2 linked regions of the Pelodiscus sinensis genome follow. The protein of the gene in region 1 purifies or fractionates together with the protein of each later gene. This does not show direct contact. Links are inferred from orthologs where the notes say so. Each region holds a gene or a part of one and is shown on either strand. Other genes may lie near its edges. The genes, in order: EIF3F and PRRC2B.

Region 1 (7,265 bases):
GCAACTTACCTCTAGAGTCACAAGACAAGTATCGCTGCCAAATGGGTGTTATTCACTTAAACTTGCCTTCTGCATTTAAAAACAATCCTTGCATAATCTTGGGTTATTTGGAAGAGGGGATCAATGAATAAACTAACACATTTTTGGTCTTCCCAGAAAATGTTTATATGAATAAGCCATGAAGCATACAAAAGGTTAGACCCCTGGAAAGACTTCCAACACTGATAAAAAGAAAGAAAATAACTCAGGAAGCTTAGATCTAAACATGTTTCCAGTGGCTTTCTTTAAAACTGATTTGCTGGAGAAGCACTATGGAGTTACATTCACTAGTTTCAAACCAAGTTACAGAAAGCACCACCTTAAAGATCTGAGGTTCTGTAAATGTGCTTCACTCACCTCACACGAGCACCGACTGGCCAAGTGCATCTTCCTGTGCACTCTCTAGCTGTGTGTGGTGGGTCTTCTCTCACTCAGCCCCCTGGAAAAGTCATACACAGCCTGTTTATGAGAGAAAAGCAATGCAAACCCCTTTGGGAGTACAAGTACAATGGGCCTCCCTGTGCCCTCTGTAATGCGTCTGCTTGTCCCTGCTCTGGAATACAGTGGTGTCCCAAGATTCCTTCCTTGGAGGACATGTCTTCATCCTCTCAGGGCTTTTCTGGCACCAGCTTTTCAGTCAGGCCACAACAGTTTAGTCCACTTCTGGAGTGCCTCAAAGTCAAGGCCACTTCCCAAGTGGATGTGAGTGTGGGGGAGGAGAATTCAGGCCTACCCTTGATTGTGAGTCCCAGCCCAGGGACCTTATAGATAGCTGCAATGCCATTTATTAAAGGGATAATGCAGAAGGCTGCTATAAGTCCCTGAGCCACTTTCCCATGGCTTCCTTATATTCTTCCCCCTTACCTCAGGGACTTGGCCTTGTGGCATTCCAGTAGCCAGCCTGGAACACCATCCACACTCCTTCAATTCTAGCAAGGAACTGTCTTCACTCATGCCTTGCAGCTCATCTTATACTAGCCTGCTGGGCTCTGATTGGCTGCGTCCCACACGGCAGCTTAGGCCACCTCTCTACTGAACTTTTGGAGGCTGGGTGTAGCAGGACGCCTTAGGACCTACTCAATCCTGTCACCAACTGTCTTTTAAAAGAGATGAGAGTAGCATGGCTTAGAGGTTCTAGATAGCCAGGTTTGTCAGTCTCTCCACAGAAACAGTATTTAATAAAGAGGAGCAAGTAATGCAACTCTCTGAAGGTCAGGTATTTATACAGATCTTCCCTCTCCCAAAAATCACTGTAGAATCCAAGCATCTCAGTCATTAATGCATTCATCCTCACAATACTCCAGTGAAGTAAGGCCATATGACACCCCTGATGTTATAGGTGGGGAAACTGAGGCACAGATTCAGAACAATGTCTTCAAAAAGGTATGTAGACTCCTAATTTCTTTTTAAATTGAGGAGATTTAGGCACCTAAAATAACCTTTGAGGGTCTGAGTGGCCTGCCCACGGTTACAGAGGAAACTAATGGAGGACAATTAGGATTCAACAAATGAAATTATTAAGCACAGGTATGAAACAAACAAAAGGAAGTATTTCTTTACACAACACATAGTCAACTGGTCAAACTCCTTGCTAGGGGATGTTGTGAAGGCCAACACTAACAGGGTTCAAAGAAAAGCTAGATAGAGTCATGGAGGTTAGGTCCATCAAAGGCTATCAGCCAGGATGGGTAGGTATGGTGTCCCAAGCCTCTATTTGTCAGAGGTTGGGAATGGGCAACGAGGGGAGGAATCAATTGATGGTTACCTGTTCTGTTCATTCCCTCTGGGGCACCTGTCCTTGGCCACTGTTGGGAGACAGGATACTGGGCTAGAAGGATATTTGGTCTGCAACGCCTCTTGGCTAGTGGAGTACCCCTGCGCTGGGCCTTTGCCCAGGATCTCCCTGCTCTCTGCACCAGCCCCAGCATGCTCCAGCCCCAGCTCCATGCTCTGCCACATTGCCTCCAGCTTCTGGGCTGCTTCTCTGACCCCTGCAGCCCTGCTCCCAGCATGGCTCTGCTGCTGGGCTGTGTCTCTGGGTGCCATGAATCCTCCCAGTTCAGCTCAGGCAAATGTCTCCTTAGTTCAGACCCACTCTGTCTGACCCAAGAAATTAAGCTGTGACAGAGGACGGGACTCACCCGAGCCTCCTCACTCCCTCCTTGGCCTGGCAGTCAGGCTGACATGTAGACTGGACTCTCTCTTTGCTCCTGGGGCTCAGTTTCATGGTTCTGATTTCTCAAAAACCCTTCCCCTTCATTTGAGACTGGGCGCTTACCAAGCAAAATACTCACTGGGTGTGAGTAAGGGGCCAACAGTCTCCTTACATATGAAAATACAAACAATAAGAATTGAGGTAAACAAGGTATTATGCATGTGCCTATCTACATCGCATTTCAGAGTACATAGCAGTTAAATTACTATGAATTCACGTTAAGAGATAATACAGGATGAAGGTCGCAATTGTTGAAAGCTAATTGTTAATGAAAGAGGAAAATAAAATTGCCTCTCTCAGCAGCGATCAGTAAATCCAATCATGCCTGTAACGCATGTGATTTAGGAACATGGGAAACGTGGGCTGCAGACAATGAATGCTGTCTGATAGGATGTAACCTTCTCGTGACTGCGTGTATACACCCCGCCACCCCGCGGAGACTTTCTTATCACGAGCTGAGTGTCAGAGCAGAGCTCTTTAACTGCCCCCCCATCTCTCCCGCTCTTTAACCGCCCCCCCTCTCTCCCGCTCTTTAACCGCCCCCCCCTCTCTCCCGCTCTTTAACCGCCCCCCCCTCTCCCGCTCTTTAACCGCCCCCCCTCTCTCCCGCTCTTTAACCGCCCCCCCCCCCGCTCTTTAACTGCCCCCCCCTCCCGCTCTTTAACTGCCCCCCCCCCCGCTCTTTAACCGCCCCCCCTCTCTCCCGCTCTTTAACCGCCCCCCCTCTCCCGCTCTTTAACCGCCCCCCCCTCCCGCTCTTTAACTGCCCCCCCTCTCTCCCGCTCTTTAACCGCCCCCCCTCTCTCCCGCTCTTTAACCGCCCCCCCCTCTCCCGCTCTTTAACCGCCCCCCCCCTCTCCCGCTCTTTAACCGCCCCCCCCCTCTCCCGCTCTTTAACCGCCCCCCCTCTCTCCCGCTCTTTAACCGCCCCCCCCCCTCCCGCTCTTTAACCGCCCCCCCCTCTCTCCCGCTCTTTAACCGCCCCCCCCTCTCTCCCGCTCTTTAACTGCCCCCCCCTCTCTCCCGCTCTTTAACTGCCCCCCCTCTCTCCCGCTCTTTAACCGCCCCCCCCTCTCTCCCGCTCTTTAACTGCCCCCCCCCTCTCTCCCGCTCTTTAACTGCCCCCCCCTCTCTCCCGCTCTGGCCCTGCCCCTGGGACGGAGGGCAGCCCCCCCCCCCAATGCACTTCAGACACCTCAGCAGCAGGGCCCTAAACCCCGCGTCGCCCAGCGCCTGCCCCTCACGCTGCGCTCGGGGCCCCCCTGCGGGAGAGAAGCCCCAGGGGCCGAGCCAGGGGCCGGGCCGGGCGCCCTTGTGGCTACCGCGCCCCGCAGGGAGCCTGGGCTCGGGGTGCGTCCGTAACACACGACCCCCCCCCCCCCCACCCTGGCTACCTAACCGCAGCCCCGCCCCTTCCGCCACAGGCCCCGCCCCTTCCGGGCCCGGCCACCATGAATTCTCCAAATTCCCCACCCCAGGGGCTCCCTTGGCTTCATTTCTCCGGGCCACGCGGCGGAGCCTACGGCAGGGCGGGCCCAAGCAACACCACAGCCAATGACAAAGGGTTTTGCACACTTTTGGGCGGGCACAATTGTCAGTATCAGCCAATGGTGAAGGAGTCTCTCCGTCCGCCTCTGCCCCCTCCTGGTTGGTTAATAGGCGAGGAGGCGAGCGGGCCTCACATTCCATCCAATGAGAAGGCAAGGGTGGTGACAGGCGTCTGGCTCAGCCTATTAGCACTAGCGTGAAAAATTTCGCCTCTTTCTTTGCAAAATGGCGGCGGTGTCTCCATCCCCGGCCCCGGCCCCGGCCCAGGATCCGGACCCGGTGGCGGTAGCAGCAGCTCCCGCCCCCGCCGCTCCGAGCCCCGCCGCCGCACCGCCATCGGCCGGCTCCGCGCCTCCTGCGGCGCTACCGACAGCGGCCCCGGGCCCGCCCGGCCCCGCCGCGCTGCCCGGCCCCTTCCCCGGCGGCCGCGTGGTGCGGCTGCACCCGGTCATCCTGGCCTCCATCGTGGACAGCTTCGAGCGGCGCAACGAGGGCGCGGCCCGCGTCATCGGCACCTTGCTGGGTAAAAGCCGGTCCCGCCCCCCGGCCCGCCAGAGCCCCCCCGCCCCCCCCCCCCGGCCCGCCAGAGCCCGGCCCCCCCCCCCTCCCCCGGCCCGCCAGAGGCCCCCCCTCCCCCGGCCCGCCAGAGCCCCCCCCCCCCCGGCCCGCCAGAGCCCGCCCCCCCCCGGCCCGCCAGAGGCCCCCCCTCCCCCGGCCCGCCAGAGCCCCCCCCCCCCCGGCCCGCCAGAGCCCGCCCCCCCCGGCCCGCCAGAGCCCACACGCTCCTCGCCCCCCCCCGGCCCGCCAGAGCCCACACGCTCCTCGCCCCCCCCCCGGCCCGCCAGAGCCCCCCCCGCCCCCCCCCCCGGCCCGCCAGAGCCCCCCCGCCCCCCCTGCCCCTCCCCCCGGCCCGCCAGAGGCCCCCCCCGGCCCGCCAGAGCCCCCCCGCCCCCCCTGCTCCCCCTCCCCCCCAGCCCGCCAGAGCCCCCCCCCGGCCCGCCAGAGCCCCCCCGCCCCCTCCCCCGGCCCGCCAGAGCCCCCCCGCCCCCTCCCCCGGCCCGCCAGAGCCCCCCCGCCCCCCCCGGCCCGCCAGAGCCCGGCCCCCCCCGCCCCCTCCCGGCCCGCCAGAGCCCACACGCTCCTCGCCCCCCCCCCCCCCCCCGGCCCGCCAGAGCCCACAGGCTCGCGGGACCCGGGACCCTCCTCCCCACCGCACCAGGCTCGACAGAGCGTCCCCCCGCGGCCCTCCTACTACCCGGCCGGGTCCGACAGATTCCTCTCCACAACTCCGGCCCTCTATCTCCTCTCCCACCGCGCCGAGCTCGGCAGAGGCCCCACTCCTCATTCTCCAACTCCCTGGACCCCATAGAGCCCCCCCTCGCACCCCACTCCTCATTCTCCAACTCGCTGGGCCCCACAGAGCCCCCCCTCGCACCCCACTCCTCATTCTCCAACTCCCTGGACCCCATAGAGCCCCCCCTAGCACCCCACTCCTCATTCTCCAACTCGCTGGGCCCCACAGAGCCCCCCCTAGCACCCCACTCCTCATTCTCCAACTCGCTGGGCCCCACAGAGCCCCCCCTAGCACCCCACTCCTCATTCTCCAACTCGCTGGGCCCCACAGAGCCCCCCCTTGCACCCCACTCCTCATTCTCCAACTCTCTTGGCCCCACAGAGCGGGCCCCCTTCCCCCCACTGGGCCAAGCCTGACAGAGCGCCCCCCCCCCCCAATCTCCGGCCCTTTTTCTCCCCCACCGGCCGTATCCCGCTATTTCTCTCCCCCGCCCCCCCCCCCCCCCGGTTCCCCCACCGACCATCCCCTCTCCCCCCCCCCACACACACCTGCGTTTGTAGGCTCCCCAGGTTGGTCCACATCCCCTCCCAGGAATGACCCCAGGGAGTCTGAGCTGCCCACAGGGGTAGTGGGTCTGGGGAATATGATCCCGCCTGGCACCTTCCTCAGGCTCATTCTCTGCTCTGCAGGCACCGTGGACAAACACTCAGTGGAAGTCACCAATTGCTTCTCTGTCCCACACAATGAGTCTGAAGATGAGGTGAGTGGTGGTCTGGGCCTCTGCTCCCTGAGCACTTGGTCACAGCGAGTTGGGTGACTAAATGGCATGATAGCACGTGAAGCACTTGGCAGTCTCCAGTGGAAGATGTGGACTCTTAGTGGGCTAGCTGCATGTGCCAGGACAAGTGCCTCATGCTACACTTAGCATGGCTTTCCTGCATTTCACCTGTTGTCTTTGGGATTCTGAAAGGCCTGGATCGGTCGGTGCCTGAGTTAGTGCATGTGACTCTAGAATTCACTGTGTCTTGTGTGACTAGAGCAATCAACATGTGTGGTATATTGGCAGGGGCTTTCTGTGAAATCCTCCCACATTATCCTAGCATACGGAGGCCAATGAAGCTCTAATTCTGCTTGTGGTGAGCTGGTAACTACTAAAGGAAGATTTTTCTGTAGTCCTGGTTGGCGATGATAACCTGTTTCACTGCTTGTTGTTTACTTGCTCCTGCAGCTCATTGCCTCATGCTGCTTTGTTCTGGTTCTCAGGTGGCTGTGGATATGGAGTTTGCCAAGAATATGTACGAGCTGCACAAGAAGGTTTCCCCTACTGAAATCATTTTGGGGTGGTAAGTCATATTCCCTGCTGCAAATGTATAACTGACCTGTGCTTAGCAGTTGTGTGGCCACATTATGCACCTTGAAATTGTGTACGCTGCATTGCTGCTTATTCAAAATTTACATTTTGTTGAAATGACTGCTATGGATATAGAATATAAATATCAAGAATGGGATACGTTGTTTAAAGGTAAAACTAGGTGTTGTGGGAAATGAATAAAAAATATATAGTTGGGCCATATCTTCTGATACTGGACTTTTCATCCAAGCATTGTTGGGAAATCAGGTGAAGTATTGTAGGGAACTGCACAGCATAGACTTCTTGAGAGTGGAATGTGGAGAACTATAGTTGGTTCCCTACAAACTGAGGCTTTGTGAACCAGTTTTCATTTGTTCCTGAATCACTGAACACTAGAACTGGAAGGCACCTCGAGAAGTCATTGAGTCCAGTCCCATGCCCTCATGACAGGGTGCAGTACCATCTAGACCAGTGGTGCACAACCCATGGGTTGCAACCTCCAAGGGGATCGTAGATGTCTTCCTAGGGGGTCGCCATAGTGGTGGATAAGCCCCAGCCTCCCGAATCTAAGTGCCGTGCTGCTCAAATTACCTTGGGGGTTGTGACATAAGTACAATGAAATATGGGGGTTGTGGTGCGCAACCTTTTTTTCAACCACTGGTCTAGACCATCCCTGATAGATGTCTATTGAACCTGCTCTTAAATATCTCCAGAGATGGAAATTCCACAACCAGCCTAGGCAATTTATTCCAGTGTTTAACCACCGTGACAGGAAGTTTTTCCTAATGTCCAGCCTAAGCGTCCCTTGCTAAAATTTA
Region 2 (7,357 bases), on another chromosome or scaffold:
ATAGCAGGGCACTGGGAACTGATTCCCAGCTCACAATCCTAACCCATCCCCCAGCCACCCTGCTGCGCTTGCAGCTCTTAATACATTTAAAAGGCAGAGCCACAGAGGGCTTAGCTCCCAGCCCAGAAGCTAACCATGCAGTTTCACTCCCTTTAACAACTAATTGACTAGTCAAGTGAAAAGGAAAACAGACCATCCTCTCTTCAATGTGAAAGTCAAATTAAGTTCAAAAAGAAAAATTCAGAAAGAGCAATGAAAGATACATTTGATTTTAATCTTAAATTTTGCCAATCCTCTATGAACTTTTAATGTAATTTTTAACCTGACAACATCTTCTTATGCCTTAATGTGAAAGCACATTTCAGAAAGGACATCATGAAAATAAAGATTAACAATGAAGTCCTGTTAATCCTTCACACCTCAAACAACAGATGGGGGAAAAAAATCTCTAAAGACCTCAGTCTATGAGGAGCAACATGACTTCTCCACCCACCCTGAACACCACACCACTGACTTCAATGGGGCTCTGCATAGGCCCAAGGTTTTACCCACTTGTAGGTCTGAGAATCAGGGCCAAATTATTTACAGAAGCAAAAGTGCAATTAAAGTTTTAGCTACTCAGGGCTCCTCCTTCCCTTACCCCTGTGAATTTATCCCAGTCCTTGGTCCCTAAACTTTGGCTTTTAGACATTGAGCAACCACGATTCCAATTGAAGTTATGGATGGATGACACGAATGCACAGTATTTCAGAAAAATTCAGGTCCTGAAGTAGTATCCTGCAAGTTTATATTTGGCAAATCCACTTGTCATATGCCAACACTCCAATGCAAGCTCTTTGGGGACCAGGACTATCATCTTCTATGTTTGCAAAGTACCTCACACAACAGTTGCTGCTCTAGTTGAGGCATGCAGGCACTACTGCCATGGAAGTTCTAAACTAACTTATAGATCCTTATTCAGGACTCAGTTCTGCAAGATGAGGGGCACTGTCTGCTAATAATGAAGAGGAAGTATTGCAGCTTTCAGGATCAATGCCCATCCTCCCATGCAGTTTCTAGAAAGAGACACAGGGTCTTAAATGTTTTCATAACTTGTATATATTTTGCCAAATATTAATACTGTTAACATAAAAATGCATCATTATATGAAAGTATTAATCCATCAAATACAATCACTGCCTCCAAAATTTCTGCTGCTCTATCACCTTTTCTGTACCCAGAGTCTTTTCTACCTCTGAGGAAAAATTTTCATAACAAAACCCAAAACTCAGGATCAAATAACATTTGCAACCACAAAGCCCACACAGTTCTGCTAACCGAAATATCCACATATTCTTATGAGATGCATGGAAACAACATTATCTATAGAGCCAGGACCAGTTTCAAGCACACACCCCCACGAACCCAGAGGTAGTAAAATCTTTGTTAATAATAAAATATACATTTTTAATAAAACCACATGCATCTTCCAAGATCCAGCATCAAACACCAGAAACATCCCTACCGCATTTCACAGCCTCAGAAGCTGCGTTGTAAACACACCCCCACAAACTGCATTTCAGTCTCTGGAACCTCTTTGCACAGCTACAATAAAACAATCGGAGCTGCTCAGCTGAGCTTCAAACGCTTATTGAAACATCCACTGCAACAAGAATCTGATCGCTGTCAAATCAAAAGAGTGATTTCGATTTTCAACTGCCTTTGCAAAAAAGACCACCCCAAAAATCGACTAGTCAATAACACGCACAACGGTGTTAAATGAAACTGTTTCATACACCACCGTGTGTGCCGTAGCAGAGCAATGGGGGCTGGGCAGGAAGCTCTGGGAGACAGAACTGTACTGTAGCGCGTATAGTTTAATAATCCCAGATGGGGGAGGGTTTAGCAGTTTGTAATAACAGTAGCAGCAACATGGATCAGGCCTCCCATGACCCGAGTGCAGAACCAAAACAATGAGGCTGAACACTCATAGACTCTAGGCTCAGAAGGGACCATTATGATCATCTAGTCTGACCCCCTGCACAGTGCAGGCCACAGAATCTCACCCACCCCTCCCAGAATAATCCTCTCACCTATAGGACAATGTAGCACTTTAAAGACTAACAAGATGGTTTATTAGATGATGAGCTTTCGTGGGCCAGACCCACTTCCTCAGATATTGAAGCCTTCAAATACACGGGGGTTTTCTTTGAAGAAAAACCCACCCACAATCCGAACGGGCTAACCTAGCAAGCCACCAAGCTAAACAAAGCCCCCCGATGTATTAGAGCCTGAAAGGTGAACCCGGTCCCCACGCCTCTCAGCCCCCAACTGGGCGTGGGGGCCGCCTCGCAAGGCCCCGCATCTGCGGCTGGGAACCGAGGGAGGCTCCATCGCGGACTGGGCTTTGCAGCCTACAAACCGGCTCCAGCTTCCTGAGCTGGGGGAGACCAGAGGCTAATCCCCCCCCCCACACACACACACCCCCCAACCCTCCGAACCCGGGGTCAAGCGCCCTGAGGGGCTCCCCGGGGCTCCATCCCCCGGCTTTGTTCCGGGGCGCACGGGTCTGAAGCGGGGATCGGGCTGGGCCGAAGCGGGCACGGAACGCTGGGCAAGGCGGCGTTTGGGGTGCTGGGCTCCGGCCCGCTACAGCCGGGGGGGGGGGGTGGCGTGAATGAGTGAGACGGGGTTGAAATGGAGACCAGAGGGGGAGGGGAAGCCTGGGGCAGGTTCCCTCCGGGCTCCAGGCAGCCTCTGGCTCAGGCTCCATTTTAGGGCTGCCTTGGTCCCATCCCCCCCCCGCCGCATCAACCACCCTGAATAAAACCTCTCAGCCCCGCCAGCCGACCCCAATACCCACCTGTGGTGGTTGTCGGGAGCCGGGTCTGCCTGGGGAGCCGAGTCAGGAGGGTAGATGGGGGCTCAGGGAGCAGGATGGCTGCGGATTGAAAGGCAGAGGCGGCGCTGCCTGGATTGCAGGTTCTCGCTGCCTCTCTGTGTCTGCCTCCTCCTCCTCCAGTCCTCCCCCCTCCCCTGCTCCTGCACGGCCTGTCAATCCCCGGCCTGGAGTGAGCAACTCATCCCGCAGCCAGAGGCGTACAAACCGGACAGCGACACCTGCAGGGACTCCAGAGGAAAGCCAGGCGCACCGCGCCTCACAGGGGTTAACGATAGAGGCGAGGAGGTTGAAAGCAAAACGAGAGAAGAAAAAGAGATAGAAAGGAGGGAGCGTGCCGGAGAGGGAGGAGAAAGAGCGGGAGAAAGAGAATTAAAGAGTCAAAGACATGAGAAAAAGGGGGAAGAATGATTGGGAAAGATGCAGAGGTGCCTGCAGAACTGTCTAACTCCAGCCTCTGCTCTGGGGAGCTCTCTTCTGCTCTGATTCCCAAAACCTGAGGGATTCTGGCAGAGGACAGTACAGTATGCACCTTGATTACAGCCCACAAGAGGGGTCATGAAACTGATTGCAGGAGGAGAGGATGGGAGCTTGGTCCTGCCAAGGCAGACACTGGCAGGGGCAGCTCTGGGATCCTGGAGCTCTACAGTTGTCAGGATTACTTTATAGTCAGGCAGAAACTATTCTTTGGATTTCAATAAAAAGCCCCATGGTGATTAGATGTGCATGCAAAAGTGAGAGAGAAGCCTAGGCTGGACAGGAGGTTTGGTCAAGAAGCTGCAGCCAAATACCAGGCTTTCCCATTTCTCATTGTAGGCAGATATGATATGAAAGTTGAGAAGAAGTCAATTAAGGAAAGAAGGAAGAGGAAAGTCTTTCCCTTGCCTGCAAGGGCTTTAGATTGAGCCCAGAATGCACAAAGGAGGAAGCAGTTTCTCAATAAAGTGAGAAGCCATGGAATTTCTGTCTCTCTCACCCCGCTCTCTAAACATTAAATCAGTTCCCAAACTGGCAATGATACAGCACCCCTTAATGCAGCCTTGCCATGGAGTGACCACCCTTTTAACACTGAGATGGGAGCTCATTTTCCATAACCCATCTCCCTTTATTAAGATAGCCAGCAAGGAGTCCTATTAATGGCAGATGTAGTAGCAGTTGTGTGGCATGGATACCTGTCTGGTAAGAAGTGGCCTGAGACCATTTCACACTGGCTGCCAGATACCTGTCAAACACCGAGCCTTTTTTTCTTCCTACCTAAATTTAATGTCTCACACATGATTCTTCTTTGATTTTATACCTCAGGAAATCACTGTCGCCAGCAGAGAATTCCCCTCTCTGCCTAGCATGTTCCTGTTTACATTGGGATACATAATAAGATAGCAATAGAAAATTTAATTCTCCTTTATTATGACATTCATATTTGGTGCCCATCACTCTACCATGCACTGTTATTGTAGGAGGTTTCAGTACCAATCTTCATCATCTCCTGCTCCAACATTGAAACTTTCTCTCTTAAGAAGGAAAAACTATGTAGCATTTTAAAGACTAAGATGGTTTAATAGGTAATGAGCTTTCGTGGGCCAGACCCACTTCCTCAGATCATATTCTGGAAGAGAATTGGCATAACCATATATATCAGAGGAATACAATGAAAAAAGTGAACACATTATTAAACTGACAAATCAGATTTAGTACAGAAGGTGGGGTGGGTGAGAGGGAGAGAGGGAGGGAATAGCTACTTATGAGTCAATGAATGGCTAATCAGAGGTGATAAGTGGGGAAGCTATCTTGTAATGGGGAAGATAATTAGTATCTTTGTTAAGGCCTATTCTTAAAGTGTCAAATTTAAGCATGAATGAATGTTCTGAAGTTTCCCTCTGTAATCTGGTGTTAAAGTCTCTTTGAAGTAAGATGCACATAGTAAGGTCGTTAAGACTATGTCCAGCTAGGCTGAAATGAAAAACAACTGGTTTTTCCTTGTGAGGATGTCTGATGTCTGATTTATGGGCATTAATTCTTTGGCGAAGTGTCTGAGAAGTCTGTCCAATATACATAGCAGAAGGACATTGTTGGCACATGATGGCAGAAATTATATTTCTGGATGAACAGGAATATGTGTTCTTGATCATATAACTGACATGGTTAGGTAGGACCAGTGATGGTGTCACCAGAGTAAATATGTGGACAACGTTGGCAGCGGTGTTTGTTGCAAGGGAAAGTTCTGGGGTTGGTATTAATGTGGTATGTCCTGTGGTTGTTGGTAAGAATCTTCCTGAGGTTAGGTGGTTGTCTATAGGAGACTATGGGTCTGTCCCCCAGAGCCTCTCGGATTGTAGTATCCTGTTCCAGTATAGGTTGTAGGTTATTGATAATGCGTTGGAGGGTTTTAAGTTGGGGGCTATTGGTGATGACAAGTGGTGTTCTATTATTGGTTTTCTTGGGCCTATCTTAAAGTAAATGGTTTCTGGGTATTCGTCTGGCTCTTTCAATTTGTTTTTTTATTTCCCCGGGTGGGTAATTGAAATTTACAAATGATTTGGTAGAGATTTTGAAGTTTATGGTCTCTGTCAGTGGGATGAGAGTGGGATTAGAGCAGATGAGGTTGTACCCCCAGATCTCTCCCCTCCACTCTCAGGATGTTATACTTATAAGAAGCACACAGGATCTTTTTCAGGGGAAAAGGCAATACACCACATTTACTGAAAACTAGAAGATTTACCTGGCATTGCTCAGGGCCTTAACTCAAATAAATTTTGTTTTTCTTCATTTAAATCATGATTCTGGGATGGGGTGAGGAATGATGGGTTGAGTATACAGGACAATCTCAGAACTCTTTCATTGTAGCAGCTTGGGACAAGGTGAGAAGCTCCTGTCCATGGCTGCTGCCGTTGCAGTGGGTACAGCAGGGGGAGGGTTGCATGTCCCCCAGCTGGGGAACAGTGAGACACACAAACAGACAAACCAAACTTTGACTGGTTCAGGGAACTGGTGGGCAGGATACCCTGGGATGCTAACATGAAGAGGAAAGAAATCCAGGAGAGTTGGCAGAAACCTTGTTGAAAGCACAGGAACAAACCTCCCAATGCACAGTAAGAGAAGCAAATACGGTAGGTGAACAGCTTGGCTTAGCAGTGAAATCCTTGGCAAGTTTAAACAGAAGAAGGAAGCTTACAAGAAGTGGAAACTTGGACAGATGACTAGGAGTATAAATATATTGCTTGAGATGCAGGGGTGTAATCAGGAAGGCCAAAGCGCAATTGGAATTGCAGCTAGCAAGGGATGTGAAGGGAATCATTAAAGGGTTCTACAGGCATGTTAGCAATAAGAGGGTGACCAGGGAAGGAGTGGGACCCATCTTAAAAAAAGGGAGGAAGGACAATCCAGAGAATTGCAGACCGGACAACCACCCCTCAGTCCCCAGAAAAATCATAGCGGGGATACTCAATGGATCCATTTTGAAGCACTTGGAAGAGAGGAAAGTGATCATGAATAGTCAACATGGATTCACCAAGGGCAAATCATGCCTGATCAACATGATTGCCTTCTATGACCAGGCAACTGGCTCTGTGGGTACGGAGAAGGCAGTGGACATGATATATCTTGACATTAGCATAGCTTTTGATATGGTCTCCCACAGTATTCTTGCCAGCAAGTTAAAGAAGTATGGATTGGATAAATGGACTGTAAGGTGGCTAGAAAGTTGGCTAGATTGTTGGGCTTAGTGATAAATGGCTTGATGTCTGGCTGGAGGTTGGTGTCAAGCGGAGTGCCCCAGGAGTCAGTTCTGGGGCCAGTTTTGTTCACCATCTTTATTAATGACCTGGATAAGGGGATGCATTGCACCTTCAGCAATAACACTAAGCTGGGGGAGAGGAAGATACGTTTTTGGTACAGATAGGGTCCAGAGTGACCTAGACAAATTGGAGGATTGGGCAAAAAGAAATCTGATGAGGTTCAACAAGGACAAGTGCAGAGTCCTACACTTGAACGGAAGAATCCCAAGCACTGTTATAGGCTGGGGACCAACTAGCTAGGCAGCAGTTCAGCAGAAAAAGACCCGGGGATTACAGTGGATGAGAAACTGGATGAGTCAACAGTGTGTCCTTGTAGCAAGAAGGCTAATGGCATATTAGGGTGCATTAGGAAGAGCATTGCCAGCAAATCTAGAGAAATGATTATTCCCCTGGTGAGGCCACATCTGGAGTACTGCATCCAATTTCTGCCCCCTCTGCCCCCCCTGCCCTCCCCGTCACAGAAAGGATGTGGACGCATTGGAGAGGGTCCAGTGGAGGGCACTGAAAATGATTAGGGGGCTGGAGCACATGACTTATGAGGAGAGGCTGAGGGATTTGGACAGTCTACAGAAGAGAAGAGTGAGGGGGCATTTGATAGCAGCCTTTAACTACCCAAAGGGAGGTTCCAAAGAGAATGGAGAGAGGCTGTTCTCAGTGGTGACTGATGACAGAACAAGGGGCAAAG

What was found.
Region 2: the proteins of EIF3F (region 1) and PRRC2B purify together in Homo sapiens (affinity purification with mass spectrometry; 3 studies listed by BioGRID and IntAct, counting the BioPlex papers as one, with this or other methods). This does not show direct contact. The link is inferred for Pelodiscus sinensis from reciprocal best matches to the Homo sapiens genes EIF3F and PRRC2B.

What each region holds. Positions count from the first base shown.
Region 1 is NC_134718.1:4,170,355-4,177,619, reverse strand, and holds the start of EIF3F (eukaryotic translation initiation factor 3 subunit F), read left to right. Parts: upstream 1-4,012; 5' UTR 4,013-4,027; coding exon 4,028-4,325; intron 4,326-5,785; coding exon 5,786-5,856; intron 5,857-6,359; coding exon 6,360-6,439; intron 6,440-7,265. UniProt on the Homo sapiens protein: Component of the eukaryotic translation initiation factor 3 (eIF-3) complex, which is required for several steps in the initiation of protein synthesis.
Region 2 is NC_134732.1:14,401,653-14,409,009, reverse strand, and holds the start of PRRC2B (protein PRRC2B), read right to left. Parts: upstream 3,019-7,357; 5' UTR 2,843-3,018; intron 2,050-2,842; exon of another isoform or gene 1,505-2,049; intron 1-1,504.